Linked DNA regions of Pelodiscus sinensis. The protein of the gene in region 2 purifies or fractionates together with the protein of the main gene of each other region. This does not show direct contact. Links are inferred from orthologs where the notes say so. Each region holds a gene or a part of one and is shown on either strand. Other genes may lie near its edges.

Evidence for each region. Proteins that work in one complex are often made in the same cells at the same time.
Region 1: the proteins of DCP1B (region 2) and DDX6 purify together in Homo sapiens (affinity purification with mass spectrometry; 6 studies listed by BioGRID and IntAct, counting the BioPlex papers as one, with this or other methods). This does not show direct contact. The link is inferred for Pelodiscus sinensis from reciprocal best matches to the Homo sapiens genes DCP1B and DDX6.
Region 3: the proteins of DCP1B (region 2) and EDC4 purify together in Homo sapiens (affinity purification with mass spectrometry; 3 studies listed by BioGRID and IntAct, with this or other methods). This does not show direct contact. The link is inferred for Pelodiscus sinensis from reciprocal best matches to the Homo sapiens genes DCP1B and EDC4.

The regions. Positions count from the first base shown.
Region 1 is NC_134736.1:597,378-604,590, reverse strand, and holds the start of DDX6 (putative ATP-dependent RNA helicase DDX6), read right to left. Parts: upstream 3,019-7,213; 5' UTR 2,879-3,018; exon of another isoform or gene 2,820-2,878; intron 2,806-2,819; exon of another isoform or gene 2,582-2,805; intron 2,090-2,581; exon of another isoform or gene 1,944-2,089; intron 1-1,943.
Region 2 is NC_134711.1:109,170,480-109,177,349, forward strand, and holds the start of DCP1B (mRNA-decapping enzyme 1B), read right to left. Parts: upstream 3,009-6,870; 5' UTR 2,834-3,008; coding exon 2,678-2,833; intron 1-2,677. UniProt on the Homo sapiens protein: May play a role in the degradation of mRNAs, both in normal mRNA turnover and in nonsense-mediated mRNA decay. May remove the 7-methyl guanine cap structure from mRNA molecules, yielding a 5'-phosphorylated mRNA fragment and 7m-GDP.
Region 3 is NC_134722.1:46,923,269-46,930,706, forward strand, and holds the start of EDC4 (enhancer of mRNA-decapping protein 4), read left to right. Parts: upstream 1-4,420; 5' UTR 4,421-4,500; coding exon 4,501-4,576; intron 4,577-7,438. UniProt on the Homo sapiens protein: In the process of mRNA degradation, seems to play a role in mRNA decapping. Component of a complex containing DCP2 and DCP1A which functions in decapping of ARE-containing mRNAs. Promotes complex formation between DCP1A and DCP2.

The DNA.
Region 1 (7,213 bases), on a different chromosome or scaffold from region 2:
ACAACTTCCTGTTTTATTTCATTCAAGAAAGGTAAACAACTACTTACAATACTTCAGTTTTCTTATCTGAGACAGCAAATCTGACAAGTCTTAGAGACTCCCTTCTTAATGTTTTAATTGTGCTAACACCTTGAGATAAATTCAAAAAAGTTTTCCTCACTAAAACGCCTGCCTGTTGCCCTCAGAAAATAAGTACATACAAAACCAATTCAAAATTTAGTAAAAAAACATCAAATGGTCTGGTAGCATTTTATAGATTAACAAAACATGTAGATGGTATTATGAGCTTTCGTGGGCACAAACCACGTCTTCAGATGACCGGGGTGGAGAAGTGATGACTGAAGAAGTGGACTGTGCCCATGAAAGCTCATACCACCATCTACATGTTTTGTTAGTCTATAAAGTGCTACCACAGACCATTTCTTGGTGTTTTTTTCCCCCTGTACAGACTAACTCAGCTACCCCCTGAAGCTTCAAAATTTAGTGACAATATTGGGAAAGTATTATAATGGTTTGATATTTTGTTTGCTAAACACAATGACTTGTACTCTTCATAGAAAATTACTGAAGTGCAACTACAAGATAAGTTACTGTGAAGTAACCCTAGAACTGTTACTAACAAGTCTACCTCCCTCACAAGGAAGGGGGAAAGGATTTACAGGCTTGACTTACAGTATCACCACTACAAAGAACTGCACTGTATAAAATAAATGCAAAACAAAAGGTGGCATTAGCTGATCACTGAACTCTTATAAAGAAGTTGTTTACCTGATACCTTGTCCATACCAAGGTTAAAAAAAAATCACCTATATAATTCAAATACTAACATTCCTTAAAGGGACATTATCTAGTCACTTTCAAGAGCAATTCTAAGTAGTTTTAAGTACAACAACTTGCTTCTGAGTCTGACAATGTCTATTGTTTTACAACCAAGTTGTCTTTTTTTTAAATCAGCCCTCAGTTCCTTTACTTGTATTTCACAGTAAAGACAAAGCAAGTGACTATGGAAGGGAAACCGTTAAAATTAGTATGTGAAGTACTGCTAACTGCACAAAACCATGTTTAAATACCTCCTCCAATATCTGTCAAGTCATTTTACATGGCACACCTTTTGAGGTGAAATATTTTGACACAGATCATTTTCAAGTACCTTTAATTTACAGGGACACTTATACATCCAAAAATCATTTTAATGAAATGCTTTAAGTATTAGAATGTTTAAGAAGTCAAGAGAAACACTATTTGGATTTAGACATTTCCCTTCTATGTTACTACTAAAAAAAAAATTGAAACATATAGCTAGTCCAGAAGCAGCAAACATATAAACAGGGAGTTACAGCAAGAAGTAAATTCAATTTTGAATTTTTTAAGGCTCTGTTTAATAACCTACTTTCATGCTATTTTACCTGACAACATGCCTTTGCACTCCTTAACACTCACAGGAAAAACATTAGATTATGTTATAGAGTAAAACAATATTTAATAAATCTGAACAAACCTAAAACTTCAGGGACAGCTTAAAAAATTAGTGCTCTTTACTAGCAAACCTCAACATTCCCCCTCCCCCTTTTCTAAGCATTTCCTTTCTTCATTTTGACCACGTATGCAGGACTCTGGAAGCCGCTGCCACTAACTATATTATTTCCACTCCCCTTTCTGCAGTGAACATCCTCCTTTTCCCTGGGAGCTTTGATTTTTGCCTAAAGATAGCACATAACGCTACAAGAAAAAACAAGACTGGGAGGGGACACTTTTTAAGAGATCCCAGGAATCACTCTTTCGTTGTTTATAAAAACTACTCCCTTGCATCTTAGCAAAGACCTCATTAGTAGGCGGAGGTGAGCTGCCCCAGAACCGACCTACATCTCCTCTAACCATAAAAGCCCTCACTGAAGCTCCAATCAGTTCAGAAATGTCAGCCATAGTCTCATCCTTCTACACACCAGAAAAAGGTCTCGTTTTCCGAACCAAACAATGGAGCGCAGCAGCTTAAGCATTTATTGCTTCCCTCCCACTTCGCCATGGGGCTCAGCCCGGGACTGACAGCGCTTCACCACCAAGCTTTGGTGTGAGTCCGATGCAGTTTCTGCAGTGCTTAGGAAAGGGGGCGATTCCGAAAGGCGGGCGCCCGGCCTAACAGCAAACGTCCATAAACCCTAGAAATGTATCTGCGCAACATCAGCGGGCACCATCCGTCGGGCAAACAAAAGACACCCCCGGCCGCTCGGGCCCCAGACCCCGCGGGGGCGGTGCTCCCCTGACGCCCAACCCGCCCCCCGGGCAGGGCCCCTAAAAGATACAACAGCGCCGCCCCCCCCCGCCCTCAAGGTCAGGCTGCCAGATACAAGCCTCCCCCCCACATGACCCCCGCACACACCGCAGCGCCGCCCCCCGCAGCAGCGATCGCCCGCGCCCTGGGTAACACGCCCCTCCGGGGCAGCGAACACACCGGTCTCCATGCGGGGGGGGTGAGACCCGCCAGACCCCTCCCCGCACTGCGCCCCCCGCCGCCTCCGGGCTCGAGTGGCCGCCCGCAAGGCCAGGCCCAGCCCCTAGTGCGGGGCAAGGCCGCAGGCCTCACCAAAGAAGCGGCCGCCCAGGCCCGCGCGGCCCCATGCCCTGTCCCCAAAGCCGCTCCTCGGGAGCCTGCTCCCCGCCGCCGGCTGGGCTGCCCGCTCTCCCAGCGCTAAGGAACCGCTCACTTGCCCGCTTGGTGCCTTGTTATGGCGATTCGACGCTCCAAGATGGCGGCTTCCTTCTTCCTCCCGTGCGCCCTCCCCCTCCCGGCCGGGCCGCGGCCAGGCCCCGCCCCCCGTTACCTCAGCGCTGCTGCGAGCCGCCGGGACGCCTCGCGCCGTCACCCCGCCCCCGCCGTCACCTGCACTCAGCCGCTCCCGCGAGGAGCCGCAGCGCCGGCCGGCCATGCCCGCCTGGTCAGGCGGAAGGGAGGGGGCTGCCGCAGGGCTCGACCCGCCTCCGCTCAGCCGCGGCCGTTTCCCTGCCGCGCTCTTCGCCGCCCGCTTCTTCTACAGGGGCCCCCAGCACCGCCTCCTCCCTCCGCGTCACAGAAGCTGCCGCGCGCTTCGCGGCCTCCCGCCCTCCGCTTCCCCCCGGCTGCGCGCGCGGCTCCCTCGTGGGCTCCGTCTAACTGAGGCGCAGCTCGCGCCGTGGCCCCGGCTCCCGTGAGCGGCTGAACGCCCGCCTCAGGCCGGGACCGTGCAGAGCCAGGCGCTGCCCGCGGCCCTGCGACGCTCACAGCAAAGTCGGTCCCGAGAGAGACTCGAGCCTCGTCTAGGGACCCTGGGTGAGACGGTGCCGACTGGACACGCAGGGGTTGTTCCCCTCCCCCGGGAGGAAAGTGTCAAAATTAGCGACTGCCGGGAATAACTTTCTGAACAACCCTTCGACTTAGTAATTTACGGAGTCTCAGCCAGCACGCGAGGAGGAGCTGACAGCGTGCTCTTTCTGTTCTTCATTACAAACGAACAGTTGTGGCGGCAAATAGGTTTTACAAATGATATTTCAAGTTTTGCTGCCCTCATAATATAACACTGTATTAAATCTCTGCTGGAAAAAATATTGAACATCAATGGCAAAAAATAATATGGAAACAGTTGAAGGTGAATGAAAAAAAGTTTTAAATCAGATTATTTTAAAAAGAAAATTGAGTTTTTTAACAACACACATCTGCATAATAGAAAATGGTAATTTAGTAGACAAAAGCTTGAATATATTCCCGAAGTAATTATCCTTTATACTCAAATTTGTATGTCCATCTCTCTCATATCTGTATTTATTCTTACATGGGTTAGCACTTAGCTGTTCTGCTCAAGGGAAACATTTTCTCCATGCCTTCCTTTTATGCTCTCTCACTTAACCAAATAGTATTTTGTTAATTATTTAGCTGCACTGTTCCTTTTAAACCATTATTTACTAAGATACCCTCGCATCATTAATAAAGTACCAAACAATTTAACAGTCAAACGATTTTTAATTTTGCATGACAGGGCCCCAGAAGAAGCTTCTGAAGACAGCAGGGAATACAGGAAAAGCAAGTTTGTAAGTACAGTCAGGGCTTAATTTAGAATCAGGTGACCTAGGTAACTTCCAGGGGGGCCGGGTGCTTTTTTTTGTTGTTAGTTGCAAAAGGGAAAATAGAATGCTAAACACAGGTACTCTGTATGTGGATTCATTTTTTTTACTAACCTCCTAGAATGTTCTGGATCTTTTGTAGAATCTTGTTTTAACCTTCCAGACTTTCTGATAACTGCATTTTCCTCAAACCTCCTAGAAGTTGTCAGACATGCCCTTATGGGTGTATATAAGGGGCAGGGCATTGCCAGTCAACCTTATATGACCAATAAAGCACACGTGCCACCCATGCTCCGAAGTTGTGAAGTGGGGTACAAATGCAAAAAAAAAAAGTTTAACGATTGGAAAGGGGCACTAAAGACATCCCTTGTTTGGGGTGCCATTTCGTCAAAGACTGGCACTGCGTACTTCTGTGGTCACCAACCCGTCAATCGCAATTGACTGGTCAATTGGGAGGGCTCAACCAGTTGATCACAAGGCGTTCAGGGGGGCCCCCCATTTCACTCCACCCCCAAGAAGCCCCACTACCTTCCTCTAGTAACAATGGAGGTAGTTCCGGCTTCCTGTGGGGTGGAAGGAAGTCCAGCAGCTGTGCGCCACTTCAGGATTTCAGGAAGTGCGCTGGCTGCTCCCTCTCCCCCAAACAGCCGGCGTGGCACCACAACCCAGGTCTGTGGTGTGCCAAGGACTTGCTGGGGGGAAATCCCCAGAGGAGGTGCATGCCGGGGCTTCCCTCCTCTTTGAGGGGGAGGAGTCCCCAGAGGAGGCACGCGCCGGAGCTTTCCTCCTCTGTAGGAGTGGGGAGGAGTCCTGGGAGGAGGCGCCTGCTGGAGCTTCCCTCCTCTTCTGGGGGGTGGGGGGTAGGAGTCCATTCCCAGAGGAGGTGCACCGGGCAGGGGGAGAGGGGATAGGAGTCCCAGGGGGAGGCATGTGTCGCAGACTCCCTGCCCCCACTGGCACTCTGCCTCAGCACCCACTAGCACCTTTCCCCAGTACCATGTCCCCTGCTCCCACCAGCACAGTTGGAGCCATATTAGTGAGGCTTGGGGAGGGTTTTGGAGGAATTTTTTTTTTGCATCTCACTTGTGGCCCCAACTGACTTTTCTGTGGGTCACTGATCCCTGACTCAAAACAGGTTCCCTGCCCTTCTCATAAATAAAGACAATGCTGAAACTTTTTTGTGTTTGACATAATATTTTATTTAAAAATGAAGCCTGGCCAACAACCCTCCAATTGTGGCCAAGCCCCCATTTGGCCACAGCATCATAACACTCCTGCACCTCCACCCCACCCCAGACCCTAGATCTGAGCCTATCATATACTGGAGCTCCCTGTCCTGAGCCTCTCACATCCCCAAACTCCTGCACCCCCACATCCTCAGTCTTCCGCCACGACACTTCTGCACCATCCACACACTGCAAATCTGTGTCCTGGTGCCATCATACTCCCAACCTCCCTGCCCTGAGCCCCTCACATACCTCAACCCAAACTCCTGTACCCTCACATCCACAAGCCTATGGCTAGCTCAGTACCCCAACCATCCACCTGACCCAAAAACTTCCCAACCTGGAGCCAGCATCCCCATCTCCACCTCCTCCTGCATATAAATTACCTCCCAGAGCTTGCACGTCTCACCCCTTCCCACACCCAAATCCCTCATTCCCACCCTAGAGCCCACACATCCTGTCAACCCAGTGAGGGTACAGCTAGACTGCCGGAGTTTTTCTGGGACTCCAGAGGTATCCCGGAAAAAACTCTTCCGCATCCGGGGACGCATTTGTTCTTCCACTTTTTTTAGTGGAAGAGCAACCATGCTCTTTCGGTAACCCCTTTATTCCTCATTCCACAAGGATATTTGGCCCAATCTAGATAGCAAAATGTTGGAAAAACCTCTTCATACAGAAGAATTTAAAAAAACAAAGCAGCAGTGTAGCCATACCCTGAGTGTGTATAAGGGCTGGGGATAGCAAGTGATGGAGAGGAGAACAGAGAGGGCGGGGCTTTAAGGAAGGGGTGGGGGTCTTGGGAGAAGGATGGGGCGGTAGATCTTGGCTTGTTCTGACATTTAAAAAGTGATCTTGGGGGGTAAAAAGGTTGGAGACCACTGGTTTACTGTATCTGAAATTTTCACCCATAGAGTTTTGTTAAGGGTGAACCTCCAGCATAAGTTCAGTAGGTGCTGTTGGACCTTGCAGTTCTATACCAGTGATGTGCTGGAGAAAACTTTTAGGATCTCTTTCTATTATTCTGACACCAAAGGGCAAGGAGAATTGATTTTCTTGCCTTGGAGGGCATTACCCTCTCTCTGGATATTGTTAACATATTCCCACACTAGGTATAATTTATTAGTGCAGTAGGGATGTTAAAATGTGTTTATTTAAGTAAAATGTAACAGGTGAAAGTTTCAACAGTTACTTGTGGGGGGAGAGGTAGCTTCCGCCTCCCCCCACACTGCTGCCAAGAGGGTTTTTCTAGCACAAGAAGGGGCAGTGTAGACAGCTCCTTGTGGTGCAAGAGCCTCTCCTGCAAAATTGGTGGCTTATTAGGTATGCAAATGAGGCTCGGGGATATTCCACACAGCCTCATTTGCATATTTCTCACGCAAGAAGCCGCGAGTGTAGACATAGCCCTGGAGGAAGTAAATGAAGTTCTTTTGAGGAAGTAAATGAAGATGTAATGATAATCTCTGGTGTATGCCAGAGGTACAGCCACCTGGGATCTTCCTATATAGGCTCCCGTTCCTAGCAGATAAAAAAGAGGAACGGACTGGTCAGACCATTAATCCAACTCTGTTCACCAGAACTACATTTCCCTCTCTGGCCACCATCACTCTAATTTCCAAAACTGTAATGGAGTCTTTTTCTAAATGTATAGGTTTTCTAAGTTGATGTGGAGCCCAAATACTGGGATTTAGAATAAACAGACTTTTTGTTCTTATTGAAATAAAGTTGCTGTTTCAGTTATCTTTTAAATGTGCAGTTCATGATATCATGATATCTCAATTAGAATTCTTACAATGTGAAGAGCTTATTAATATTTACAGGTGTTACAAGTCACAGTCTATACTCTCAAAGGCAAAATGGAAAAACTGACTAAATAGCACTTGGGAGTTTCCATTTGT
Region 2 (6,870 bases):
GCGGCCACTTTGGTGCAAGATCGCACCAATGTAGACACAGCTAAAGAGTTTAAGGTGCTACTAAAGACTATCAAAACATGTAGATGATATCACGAGCTTTCATGGACACAACCCACTTCTTCAGATGACAGGAGTGTGTTGTGTCCCAAAAGCTCATGATACCATCTATATGTTTTGTTAGTTTTTAAGATGCTGCTAGACTATTTGTTGTTTTTTAAGTTTTCCCTGTTACAGACTAACTCGGCTACCCCTTTGAATATATATCTAAGATATCTGTGAGTAACTGGTGGATGTCATGGTGACACACACCTGAACAAGCACACATGACCTCAATATTGGTGCACAAGACAAAACTCACTCCACTCATGGATGGAAAATCTTTAGATTTTCCAAATCCTCTGGAGCAGGGAGGCCTTGGAACCTGCACCTGCCCCAGCAAAATCTCTCCGCTCCAACTGGCTGGTTTCTAGCCAATAGGAGCTGAGAGATTTTGCTGGTGGTGGAGTCAGTGTGTGAAGCCCTCGCTCTCACTCCCACCTCCCCGCAGCACACAGAACCACATGGAACAGCCAGTTGGGGGCTACTGGCAGGCTGGGAAGCCTGTTTGAGTGTGTTGCTGGCCAGAAGCTGCTTAGGTATGCACCTTCTGACCAGAGCCTGCCACTTCACCCCCTTCCAGACCTGCACCTGCTCCTACAGCCATCCCCCAGGTCAGAATCTTCTCCCGAACCCATACCATCTCCCTAACCCTTCACCCCATCCTCTTCCACAGATCACTATTCTCTCCTTCACCCCAACAGTCACTCAGACCCCAAACCCTTTTCGGCACCCCAGTTCCCTACTCTGAGCTCCCTTCTGCACCCAATCTCTATTTCAAACCTGGACCTCCTCCATAGAAAAGTGCAGCCCATGACCACTTACCAAAATCTTGGAGTGGCCCCTCTATCAAAAATTTTTGCTCACCCACAGTCTACATGAGGGGTGGGCAAGATACATCTTGTGGGCTGGATCCAGCCTGTGGACCACTCTACCAGGACCCTCAAGCACACAGCAGCCACTGTTTTAAGCACAGGCCTGCTTTGTGTGGCTCTCTGCTTTGGAGCAACCGGGAGGTTGTGTGTGATTACCCTACCTCCAGCCCAGTCCTCAGCTCCTATTGGCCGGAAACAAGCATCCCATATGTAGACAAGATCTTAAGCATGGGCTTAACTTTAATTGCATGAGAAGTCCCACAAACTTCACCATGCTAAGCACATATTTAAATCCTTTACTAGATCAGGGCTTCTATATCTTAGGAAAATGTGTTATATTTGCTGCTTCTTGAGCATTAGTACCACATCACTGGTAATTTTGAAATTATATGGTGTTCTTCCAAAAACTATACACACTAGGGATATAAAATCTAACCTAATATTTAATTGGTTAACTGACTACGTGAGCTCCCAGCTCTGGGACTGCGACCACCACCAGCTCCCAGCCCTGCTGGGGCAGCCCTCTACCCCACTATTCCCCCCCCCCCCACCTCCTTGAGCAGCTCCTCACCTGCAGCCTATGGGCAACAATTAATTGGTTACCCATTCACATCCTTAGTATACACGCACACCACCCCATAGAGCTATGTTTCTCAACCAGCAGTATGAGTACCCTTAGGGATACTCAAGAGAAGTCAAGGGGGAGGTATGTCAACAACTGAAATTTGGAGAAAACTGAATTTGTTAAGTTTTACAACATTTTATTATTTTTGTACTTTTTACCACCCAAAAATGTCATCACCCGCCTGACTACAAATAAGTTGTTTAAATAAATGCGTTGCAATGGTTAAAAAAAAAAAAGTGTCTGAAAACCGTACGTACTGGGTGTACTTACCCCTTTTTTTAAAAAAAAATTGTATTTTATAAAAAAAAGTTGAGAAACACTGCCATAGAACATTTCAGTGACAATACAGTTTCCATATAATACTGTATTGTACTCATGAACAATGTACATTTACACTATATCCTGGTAAGGGCAAGAACTTGCTTTTAGCAGATGCTGCTGAATAGACACCACTATGAATTTCAAGTTCATTGGCCAGCATGGAAGGGGTGGAAATGAAGGGCCACCGTTTCTTTCTCCCACCTATCCTCTCAACAACTTTTGTTTGGTGCTTAGTTGCAGAATTTGTGCCAGAGAGAACCAACGCCCTTTCTTAAATTGTGGAAACTTTTTACTGTTCCCTGCTTTGGGTTTTCACAGTGGATTTGTGGGCCTTCCTATTAGGAAGGTGAATGGTTTAAACCGCTGAATTGGTGGGGGCTGGAGCAGCTGCCCACCCCTTTAAATCAGTTAACTACTTAAATGGGGTTTTACATCCCTACTTCATAACTGAGCATATTTTATAAGTTAAAGAAAATAGATACACCCCCCTCCCCAATACTTTCAGCCACCACCCCTTCCCCAGACCCTCCAATTCCCGCACGTCCCACGTGTGTGTGTTGGGGGGGGGGCTCCCCGCCTCAAGCTCTCTCCGCGTCGGGGGAGGGAGATCTCCCTCCTGTTTGCCCTGCCCGGCCTCCCCCACTTGTCCATGGAGATGGGGGGGGGGGGAATCTCTAGGTTCCCTCCCGCCACCTGTATGCGTGCGCGCGCGGAGGGGGGGGGTCTCCCCGCTGCCGGCCCGGGGGGGGGTGTCACGCACCCACTCGTTGGCGCGGTGCCCGAAGGTGTAGAGCGCCACCTGGCTGGCCACGTCCACGATGCTGCTGATGTAGGGGTCGTGCCGCTGCAGCGCCGCCAGGCTGATGTCCAGCCCCTTGCCCAGCAGGGCAGCCCCGGCCACCACCGCCGCCGCCATTTTGCCTCCCACAACAACACTTGCGGGGTGCGAGGAGGGCACGACTAATCCAACGCCGAGAGCGAGAGCGAGCCCGGAGCGAGATAACACCGGGCCTGAGTGCTGGGACCCAGGCTCGGTAATCGCGCGCCGAGTTCCCGTTGCTCAGGATTGTTGCCATTAGCAACAGGGTAAAGTCAGGGAAGGTCCGGCCGGGCTCAATATGCGTAACCCAGGGGGCGGGGCCGGAAGGGCGCGCGCCATGGAACGCCCGGCCTCGCGCAGTCCCACGCCTGACATCCCTGTCTCTGCTCAGGGGCAGCTGGGCACACGTGGCCGGGAGCGTAGAGAGACCACAGTATTGCCAGCTGCAACGAATCCCAAATCATGTGTCAGACCTCCTCAAATCACAGCAATGACTCCACAATAATAATAATAATAATAATATTGAGGTTCTTTTGTTTTCTCTAGGGTGGAGTCTTTAGGGTTCAAATTTAACTGATTTACTCCACAACCTGGAAGACTACAGACTTAGGGGTTTTTTTGTGTTTGTTTTAACATGTGAGTTGCCCCGCTGCACTGCTAATTAGGAACTGCTTTCTGTCAGTGCCACCCAGCTGGAGCCAACACCCTGAACCCCCAGTCCCATGTCAGAAACCCTTCCCGCACCCCAACTCCTCTGTGTCTCTATCCCAAGAATTCTGCCCTAAGTCAGAACCACCTTCCATGCTCTACCTCCTTCCCAGACCTCTGATCCTCACCCCAAATCCTCTGCTTAAAGAACCCCATTCCTACAACCTATTGCCTTACCAGACTCTGTACCCCAACCCTTTGCCCTAATCTTGAGCCCACTCCCACATTCTAAACCTCTTGCCCCCAGCCCCGATCTCCCTCTTGAACCCCAAACACCTCATCTGCACTCCATCCCAGAACTTGCACCCCATCCTCATCCTTTCCCACACCTGACCCCCTCATTTCTGCCCCCCTTAGCCACTGCACCCCCATCCGCATAGAGCTGGAGCTGTGAGAGCAATCTCATCGTACTGCAGTGGGAAGCCCTGAGCCTTGAGCCTCCCTCTGACCCCCACAATGGGCTGTGTATGGCCCATGATTTTTTTTCCTGTGGGTATGTTAGAAAAAAGGTTCTCCATCCCTACACAAAGTGAACAATCTATAATTGCTCTCACAAATCAAGTTAGCATGATTTTGCTGGAATTTGTTTATGAAACAAAGTGATTTTTTAGCTTTGAAAATGTCATCTCTCTCTATATAATTTTTTTTCCTGTGGGATGACAGAGTGGCATCAGCATATCACTCATGTCACCCTGCCTTCAGCTCCAGGCCATGATCTCCACCCTCCTGGGGCTCAGATGCTTCGGGCCCCTTTGGCCTTGTGCTGGCAGCAGCCTTAGCTGGGACCGGGCTCCCCTCCCCAACAGCAGGCCCGGGGCTGTCCGGACTGCTCCTCCAAACCTCCATTGCCACCCCCATCCCGACTTCACTGCTCCAAAATCAAACAACTGGAAATGGTAACGTGTTTGATTTCAACATTTCTGAAAGAAAAGTTTTTGACATTTTGAAACAAATGAAATGAACAAAAAGTTTCAACTTTGTTTAGAAGTGGCCTTTCATTTTGAAATTTAGCTAATAACCTAAACCTTCTCCCTAGGTATGGCTGCTTCTCATGTTGTTCTTTCAGGATTGCTTCATCCAACACCTCTGCTCTCTCTGCCTCAGATTCAAGATGCCTACTGTAGCCCCTCTTCCATCTTTGGTGGAGTTAAGTAAGCCCCACCCTCAAAATATAAATTAATTTAGACTTAGTATCTTGGCTACCTTATTTCCCCAGGCTCAGGCTCTCCTCCTTCCTCAAGAATTTAGATGAAGATTGGCTGCACCTCTCCGGAGCCATTCTGATAGAGTCATTTCATGTATATCATCCTTTCAGCACAGTTTTATTACAAATGATCACTAATTGAGTTTACAGTATGATTGGGGAAATATATCCTTGCTGATACCCACAAGTCTATTATTGGAACTTTGTCTGCCTCAAATTCACAATGGTTAAGGATTCCTTAGCAGGTTCAGGACTTGAATAAAAAATAACTCATAGAATTAAACTAGATCCAGTCAATTTTATTCTCAAACTAGAAAAACGTGCAGGAAAAGATGTATAACATCACAATTAGTTACTAGCATCCGTGTATGTGTAATACTACCCCCTGGTGGAATTTGAAAGGCCTTTTTGATGCAAAAGCAGCCCATTTCACTATCTGTTGAGAATTTCTTTTTCAATTCACCGAAAAATAAGATTCTGTATTTTGGTGCTATTGATTTTGAGTATTCTGTTGGGATAAATACCATGTATGAAATGATTAATTACAATAACCACAAGTTGTCATGAATTGCTGACAATTATTTCAATGAGTGACAGCGTGTTGTTTGACCAAGATCACAATTCTTACTTTGCAGAGTTTTGCAATATGATTTTGTTGCCTTAATTCTAGATGTTGTCTTATTCTGAATACTTATTTTAGACACTGTACATTTCACACACACCATCTTCTGTCTTAGGGGTCATCTATATGAAAAAGGTTGATCACTTACGCTAATACAGGTATACTGGTATAACTTCCATCACCGACATGGGCATGGGCATTCTTATTTCAGTGTAAGTGTGTCTCATCTTGGAAATGGATACTAATAATAAAACTAATCTCTTTCATATATTTGTTTTTGGGATATGCTAGTACAGGCAGTCCCCGAGTTACGCGGATCCGACTCCGCAGTTACGAATGGGGATTTTCTCGCCCCGGAGGACTGGAGCGGCGGGACGCCTGGTCCCGCTGCCCGCCTCCTCCGGGGCGAGAAAAGCTGCTCCCCGTCTCCCTGGTCTGCTGGGGGAGCCAGCAGACCAGGGAGACGGGGAGCAAAGCGGCGGAGCACCCGGGGCCGGACCCGCGGCCGCTTCCAGATCAGCTGGAAGCGGCCGCAGGTCCGGCCCCAGGTCCTCCGCCGCTTTGCTCCCCGTCTCCCTGGTCTGCAGACCAGGGAGACGCTGAGCAAAGCGGCGGAGGACCCGGGGCCGGACTGCGGCCCTGATCTGGAAGCGCCGTGGTCCGGCCCGGGTCCTCCGCCGCTTTGCTCCGCGTCTCCCTGGTCTGCTGGGGTGGGGAAGGGGGACGCAGCTAGTGCCCCCCCCCCCCCAGCAGACCAGGGAGACGTGGAGCAAAGCCCGGGGCCTGTGGTAGAGCAGGTGGGGCGCTGCCGGTTGGTCCCGCAGCACTGCTCCTTGGCGCTACTGGACCAATCCAGCAGCACCCCAGCTGCTCTGCCCCAGGAGTCCTGATTCAGCCGCTGCTGATCAGTTTCAGCAGTGGCTGAATCAGGACGCCTGGGGCAGAGCAGCTGGGGTGCTGCTGGGTTCGTCCAGTAGCGCCAAGGAGCGGCCGCGCTACTGGACCAACCCAGCAGCACCCGAGCTGCTCTGCCCCAGGCGTCCCCAAGTTAGCCGCTGCTGAAACTGACCAGCGGCTGACTACAGGAAGCTGCTCTGCCCCGGGCTTCCTGGAATCAGCTGCTGATCAGTTTCAGCAGTAGCTGACTTGGGGATGCCTGGGGTTCTTAAGCTGAATCTGTATGTAAGTCAGAACTGGTGTCCAGATTCAGCCGCTGTTGAAACTGATCAGTTTCAGCAGCGGCTGAATCTGGATGCCAGTTCCGACTTACATTCAGATTCAACTTAAGAACAAACCTACAGTCCCTATCTTGTACATAACCCGGGGACTGCCTGTAATCAAGTTTCTGGAAAACAACACCCAAATTTTTTTCTTCCCACCTATTCCCCAAAATGAAGGTGTTACAAATCTTCAATGCTGTTTCTTTCTCTATATCCAGAAACAAAGATGTCAAACATTGGTAGCTTTCTTCTCCCCCTCAACAGTTCCGTAAACACAAAATCAGAAATCACTGCACTTCCTTAACATTTCTATGAGGTTTAACTTTAGTTTGTTTGCTATTTTTTGAGTTATAATACCTAGCCTAACCCAAGGTTTTAT
Region 3 (7,438 bases), on a different chromosome or scaffold from region 2:
TCTCCCCTTCCCCTCTCCTATTTATTTGGAGTTTTCATATCCCCAATTCATAACTCTGGTCATCTGAAGAAGTGGGCTGTGCCCACAAAAGCTCATGATCCCATCTACATATTTCATTAGTCTATAAAGTGCTACCAGTGTTTTTAACTTTCTCCTGTTAATCAAACTTTGTTTTAAATAAAGTAAAATGTTATGTCCAACACAACAGGTTTCAATGTTTTCGTTATGGGAGAGGTGAGGAACCCTTTTTGAGCCTGGGGTTACTGACCTCCCCTCCAAAAAATCTGGGCTTCCCATAGACCAGATTTACTGTTCTGGAGTTAGTGGATTTTATGGACCTCCTTAGGCTCTGGGATAGGGACAAGAATGAGGAGTACAGTGCGTGAGACAGGGCTGCCAGCGAGTGAGGTAGGAATGGGGTGCAGGATCTGGGTGGGAACAAGGGTGCAGAAGCAGGCTGGGAGTAGGGTGTGTGGCCAGGAGGAAGGAGCAGGGACAAGGGAGGGGATTGGAGCAAGTTGGGGGTTCTAGATCTTGGGGAGGGGTTCTAGATCTTGGGATGGGGAAGTGATGGGATTGGGGTGGGGGGTCTGGACATGAGGAAGAACCTTACCTGGCTTTGTGCCCCCTTGCAACAATGGCTGCCGCCATGCGATCCAGGGATAGCCCCAAGGCACACAGCCTGGGGCCAGCCTCTGGGGCCAATGGGCACAGGCTGCCCCAGAGGTGCTGCAGCCCGGGGCAGGTCCTGGAGGCACCACAGACAGAGGCCGCCCCAGAGGCACTGCTACCATGGCCATGTGGCTTGGGGCCAGCCCCAGAGGCACTGCAGCCACGTGGCCCCAGGCCACTCCAGAGGTGCCACAGTCTGGGACTGGCCCCAGAGGTGCTACTACCACGGCCATTGTGCCAGCCCTGGAGATGCCGCTACTGTGGCCAGGCGGTCGGGGGCCGGCCCTGGAGGTGCTGCCATGGCCGGGTGTCTCCAGCCTCTGGGGATAGCTCCAGACCACATGGCCATGGTAGTGGTGCCTCCGGGGCCGGCCCTGTTACGGAGCCTCAGCCCCAGGCTCTGTCCAGTGCTTCCACTTTGAAATGAACAAGAGCCCCCGCGGGGGACGTTTCAAAGGCGGAACGTGGCAGTTCTCGACTAATCAAATAGTCAATGGAAATCCTATTGACACTTTGATTAGTTAATTAATCGAAATTTAGCATCCCTAGTACATACCAGGTCAGCGCCCAGACTACTGTACTAGGCAACATAGTATAGGAAGGAGATGGGCAGCCCTCAGTGGAAAAAGAACAGGATAACTATTTAGAAAAGCTAGACATACACAAATCCAGGGGGCTGGATTTAATGCATCCATGGGTGCTGAGGAAGTTGGCAGATGTTTCCAAAGGCTCTGCAAGGACTTGTGGCGATCAAAGGAGGTCCCGGGTGCTTGGAAAAAGGCATATGTGGTGCCCATCTTTTAAAAAGGGAAGAAGGACAATCCAGGGAACTACAGACTGCCCGGTCAGCCTCATGTCAATCCCTGGAAAAATCATGGAAGGGATTCTCAAAGAATCCATGTTGAAGCACTTGGAAGAGGGGAAAGTGACCGGGAATAGTCAGCATGGATTCACCAAGACCAAGTCATACCTGACCAATCTGATTGCATTCTATGACAAGGTACCTGGCTCTATGGACAGGGGGAAGTCAGTGGATGTGATAGACCTCGACTTTAGCAAAGCTTTTAAAACAGTCTCCCACAATATTCTTGCCAGCAAGTTAAGGAAGTCTGGATTGGATAAATGGACTGTAAGGTGGAGAGAATGCTGACTTGATGTCTGGCTGGAAGTCGGTTTCTAGCAGAGTGCCCCAAGGATCCATTCTAGGGCTGGTTTTGTTCAACATCTTTATTAATAACCTGGATGAGGGGATGGATCACACCGTCAGCAAGTTTGCAGATGACCCTAAGCTAAGGGGAGAGGTAGATACATTGGAGGGCTGGGACAGGGTCCAGAGTGACCGAGACAAAGTGAAGGATTTGGTCAAAAGAAATCTGATGAGGTTCAACAAGGACAAGTGCGAAGTCCTGCACTTGGGACGGAAGAATCCCAAGCATAGTTACAGGCTGGGGACCGACTGGCTAAGTAGCAGTTCGGCAGAAAAGGACCTGGGGATTGCAGTGGATGAGAAGCTGGATATGAGTCAATAGTGTACCCTTATAGCCAAGAAGGCTAATGGCATATTAGGCTGCATTAGGAGGAGCATTGCCAGCAGATCTAGACAAGTGATTATTCCCCTTTATTCAGCACTGGTGAGGCCACAACTGGAGTATTGCATCTAGTTCTGGGCCCCCCATTACATAAAGGATGTGGACACATTGGGGAGAGTCCAGCGGAGAGCAACCAATATAAGTAGGGGGGCTACGAGGCGAGGCTGAGGGTTCTGGGCTTGTTTAGTCTGCAGAAGCAGAGAGTGAGGGGGGATTTGGTAGCCTTCGGCTCCCTGAAGGGGGATTCTAAAGGGGATGGAGAGAGGCTGTTCTCAGTGGGGGCAGATGGCAGAACAAGGAGCAATGGGCTCAAGTTGCAGTGGGAGAGGTCTAGGTTGGATATTAGGAAAAACTATTTCCCTAGGAGGGTGGAGAAGCGCTGGGATGGGTTCCCTAGGGAGGGGGTGGAATCTCCATCCCTAGAGGTTGTCCCAGCTTGACAGAGCCCTGGCTGGGATGATTTAGTTGGGGTTGGTCCTGCTTTGGGCAAGGGACTGGGCTTGATTTTTCTCTTTCAACCCTGTGAGTTGATGATTCAGAGCCAGGAGAGGCAGGAAGCTGACTTAGCACCCCTGCTGCACCGCTGACCGGGAGCCGCTCAAGGTAAGCCCCTCCTGCCCCAGCCCAATACCCCAAAGCCAGAGCCCCCTCTTACTCTCCACAGTTGAGTTGCGGGCATCAATAATTTTCTTCGACTGGGTCATGAGAAAAAAAGTTTGAAAATCACTGAACTAGTTGCTCCCTGACCAGCGAAATCAAGACAAGATGGGACTGCAGCGGAGAAATTCTCATGGTTAAGTCAAGGTAGAAACCAGGGAGGAAACCCTGGGACTTCTCTCCCTAGTTCAGCCAAATCCTGTGCGTATGTCTGCAGTGCACTAAGAGCTGTGGCTGGCCCGGGGCAGCAGACTCAGGGTTTTGTGCTGTAGGGCTGTTGCACAGCAATGTGGACAGTTGGGTTTGGGTTGGAGCCCGGCTTTTGAGTCCCCGGGGGGTGGGGAGGGTACCAGAGTGCAGACTCCACTTGAAGCCTGTGGGGCTACGCTGCAATCTTATGGCCCCAGCCTGAGTCAGATGGCCTAGGTCCCCATGTGCCCTAGATGCATGAGTGGCCCTTCAGAAGCAAGGAAAGGACCCAACATTCTCTTTGACATGGTACCAGAATTTCCCCAAGGGGCTTAGGTGCTGCCGCTGCTGGTCTTGAAAGACCCCTGAGCTGGATGGGCCAAGGCCCGTCCAGGCAGGTGCTGCTTTCGCAGTGCAAGGCCCAGTGCAGAGATTTGGATTAACACGAGTGAGCTGCAGATCACGTCTCCACGGGGGCAGTACAGCAGCTGCCTCCAGGTGGGAGCCTGGATGCAACATCTCTCCCAGGAGCAGTGCGGTAGGAGCCCCAGCACGGCACCTGCACAGGAGGGAAACGAGGCAAGAGCTTGTCCCCCCGACTCCCAATAGCTTCACCCCGCAACAATACCGTCAACCCCTCTTCTCCCAAGGTCGTCTGCACCCGTAACAGCCCCCTACCCTGCCCTATGTAATGGCACCCCCAGAACAGCCCCCCATTAATGGGACCCCCACCCCATAACAGTCCCTCACCCACCATATCAATACCCCTGCCCCGTAGCAACAGCCCCCGTCTGACAACACCCCACCCCATAACAATACCCCTACCCCATAGCAACAGCCCCCGTCTGACAACACCCCACCCCAAACAATACCCCCTGCCCCGTAGCAACAGCCCCCGTCTGACAACACCCCACCCCAAACAATACCCCCTGCCCCGTAGCAACAGCCCCCCGTCTGACAACACCCCACTCCATAGCAACAGCCCCCGTCTGACAACACCCCACCCCATAGCAACAGCCCCCGTCTGACAACACCCCACCCCAAACAATACCCCCTGCCCCGTAGCAACAGCCCCCCGTCTGACAACACCCCACTCCATAGCAACAGCCCCCGTCTGACAACACCCCACTCCATAGCAACAGCCCCCGTCTGACAACACCCCACCCCAAACAATACCCCCTGCCCCATAGCAACAGCCCGCCCAGCACCTGCGGGCCGCGCCCCTCCCACATGGCGCTCGGGGGGGGGGGGGTCTCGCCCCCGGCCCTGGCTCGGCCGGAACGCGGCTGCCCGGGGCTGGTTTCCGCGGGGGCCGGCGGCGGCCGGACCGGAAGCGGAAGTGGAGTCGGCGGGCCGGGCTCGGGAGCGGGGCGGCAGAGCGGGAAGCGGGCCCATGGCCTCCGCCAGCATCGACATCGAGGACGCGACCCAGCACCTGCGGGACATCCTCAAGCTGGACCGGCCGGCGGGTGAGGGCGCGCCCGGCCCCGCCCCGCCGCGCCCCCTCCCTCCCCGCCTCCGTGCGCGCGCGCCGGGGGCGGGGCTGCCGCAGGGGCCGAGGCGGGAGCTCGCTCCCCTCTGGGAGACGGGAGCGCGCCGGGACCGCCCCCCCCCGGGCTCGGGCTCGGCCTCGTGCGGGGAGACCCTGGATCTTCCGCCTAGCCAGCCCCGCGTGTCCCCCCCAGTCCTGCCCGGCCCCCCCCCAACACCGTCCAGTTCTGCCAGCCCCCCCCCCCGCCACTGTCCACTCCTGACAGGCCCCCTCCCAGCCCCCCCCCCCGCCACCGTCCAGTTCTGCCAGCCCCCCCCCCCCGCCACTGTCCACTCCTGACAGGCCCCCCCCCACCCTCCCAGCCCCCCTCCGCCACCGTCCAGTTCTGCCAGCCCCCCCCCCCGCCACTGTCCACTCCTGACAGGCCCCCCCCACCCTCCCAGCCCCCCTCCGCCACCGTCCAGTTCTGCCAGCCCCCCCCCCGCCACTGTCCACTCCTGACAGCCCCCCCCCACCCTCCCAGCCCCCCCCCCCGCCACCGTCCAGTTCTGCCAGCCCCCCCCCCCGCCACTGTCCACTCCTGACAGCCCCCCCCCCACCCTCCCAGCCCCCCCCCGCCACCGTCCAGTCCTGCCAGGCCCGTTCCCATCGCGGGCAGGTTACATTTTCAGACACCTTTGTGCTTCTCCCCACATCACCACCGGGGGGGGGGGGGTGCTCCCTTTGAACACCCCATTCAGCGACCTCATTATCCTGCCGTCAAATCTCTCCTTGACTCTCAGCAGGGAACTTGGTGACTGCAAGGCTGCTGGAGTGCAGAGAGCCTTGCTTGTCTCATGGTTTTCCTTGTACCTCCTCCCCCTCCCCTCCCCCGTCTGTATTATACCGCTGTTCTCTCTCATTTTATATGGCATTTGTAAGCTCCTCGGGGCGGGGGTTGTTTCGTCGTTCTGTGCCTACCACAGTGAGGGATCCTGATGCATGCAGTGAAGGCTTCTAGGTGCTACAGTAATACAAATGAGATCACAATAATTAATAAGATCTTAACTGTACATCTGCACCTGCTGCACCTCCAAAGCCCCAGCCATTTCCAGCTAAACTCTGCCTAGCCATGCTACGGCAGCCACACGCCTCTCTGGGAAACAGTTCCAACATCTGGGTAGTACTCGGTATCGTGGCGTCTGGGACAGGAGCACCCTTGGATTCCTGGCCTGCGCTGCTCCACTCCTGGGCTGGGCACCGTGTGCTTAGACTCTGACTCCATCCCAGCATATTGGGTGCTGTCTTGATCCATACAGAGCCAGGGTTTCTGTGGGCCTTGGCGCCAGACTGAAATCAAGGTTGCCCTCAGTCTGCCTCCCTGCAGCCCCGGGACCCCTGTTCACCTGCTGGGGTGGGCCGCAGCGAGGCGAAGCGTGTGTGTGTGTTGCGCTTGCCATGGGGTGTGGGAGGCCCAGTGAAGCTTCCTTTGTGCAGCTGAGACGCTCACGTCGGAGCCCTGTCGGAGCGGAGCTCCTCGCGGTCCCAATGTGGCTCTTTGATAGCTTTGCGTTGTGCAGGTGCAGATGTGGCTGCCCATGCGAGTGACTCTGCATCCTGTGAATGTTAAAATCAGCGAGGGACGGTTCCCAAACGCCTGATCCGGCGTAATCTCATCAGGTTTCTAGCCTCTCCAGCTACGTTCTCTCCTCAGTCTCTGGTTGGGTATGTAAGTGAAGAGCGCTGGTTTGGCAAAGGGTTGTATCGGCTTCTGTTTTCTAATAGTCAGCTGCCAGCTAGGGCCTTCGAGCGACTGCGGGCGTCGTCTGATGTGCTCATCTAATTCCCGCACCATTTTAGGAAGATGGTAGTAGGCACGTGGGGGTGGGCTGACTGCACAGTCAACCCTGCTGGATTCGCTCTCTGTACAACGCTTCTGTTTAGTGGTGTAGAGCTGACCATTAGTGTCCCTGACGTGCAAAAGCTTCCGATTGTCCAAGTAATCTGGAAACAACTGCCCTCCTGGTTTGTACAGGGAGGCCTTCTGTTTCAGCTTTCCTGGTATGAGCCAAAGGATGCTTATTAATCTCCACCTGTGGGCTGTAGGAGTAGGGATGGTAACTATCGGTTAATTGAATAGTCAAGTAACCTCATGAATTCTTATCAGCTACTGGACTATTCTGTAGTATCCGGGGGCGGGGCTGACAGCCAGTGCACTCTGGTCCCACTCCTGAAGAGCCCCCTGCCACTCTATACTGCTGCCTCTGTATCAGAGGCAGCGGCGCGGGGTGCCAGGCGGGAGCTGGTCCTCAAGGGAAGCCAGTCTAAAAACCAGCTCCCCTCACGGACCAGCTGCCTGTCGCCCCGAGCTGCTGCCTCTGACACAGAGGCAGCAGCACAGGATGGCACTGGCCCCTGTCCAGGAGGGAGCTGAGCTCAGCACAAGCCGGAACTGAATGGGTCTGCTGCCCACCTGGCTCCTAGTACACTTTAAATGCAGAGCCGCAGCAGGCGTAGGTCCCAGACCCGTTGCAAGGGAGGAATGAGCCGGCTGCTGGCCAGCCTGCTAAAAAATTTACTGGCGGGGGGTGGGGGATGCGTGTAGTCTATAGTTAATCAGTTAATCAACAGCACTATTACATCCCTATTTCTTTGCTGTAGTAAGAGGGCAGGTGGGGGTTGTCGGGAGAGGAAGGGTGAGCAAGGGACTATCGGTAGAGCCTTGTATGGATTCAAAATTTGTATCCACGTCTGTATCCTCAAAGGTGAGCCGTGGATAGTTGCAGATTTGCAGGGCTCTGACTGTAGAGGTCAGATGAAGGTTGGCTTGAGCTTCTTAACGGACTTCACTAGCTTATTT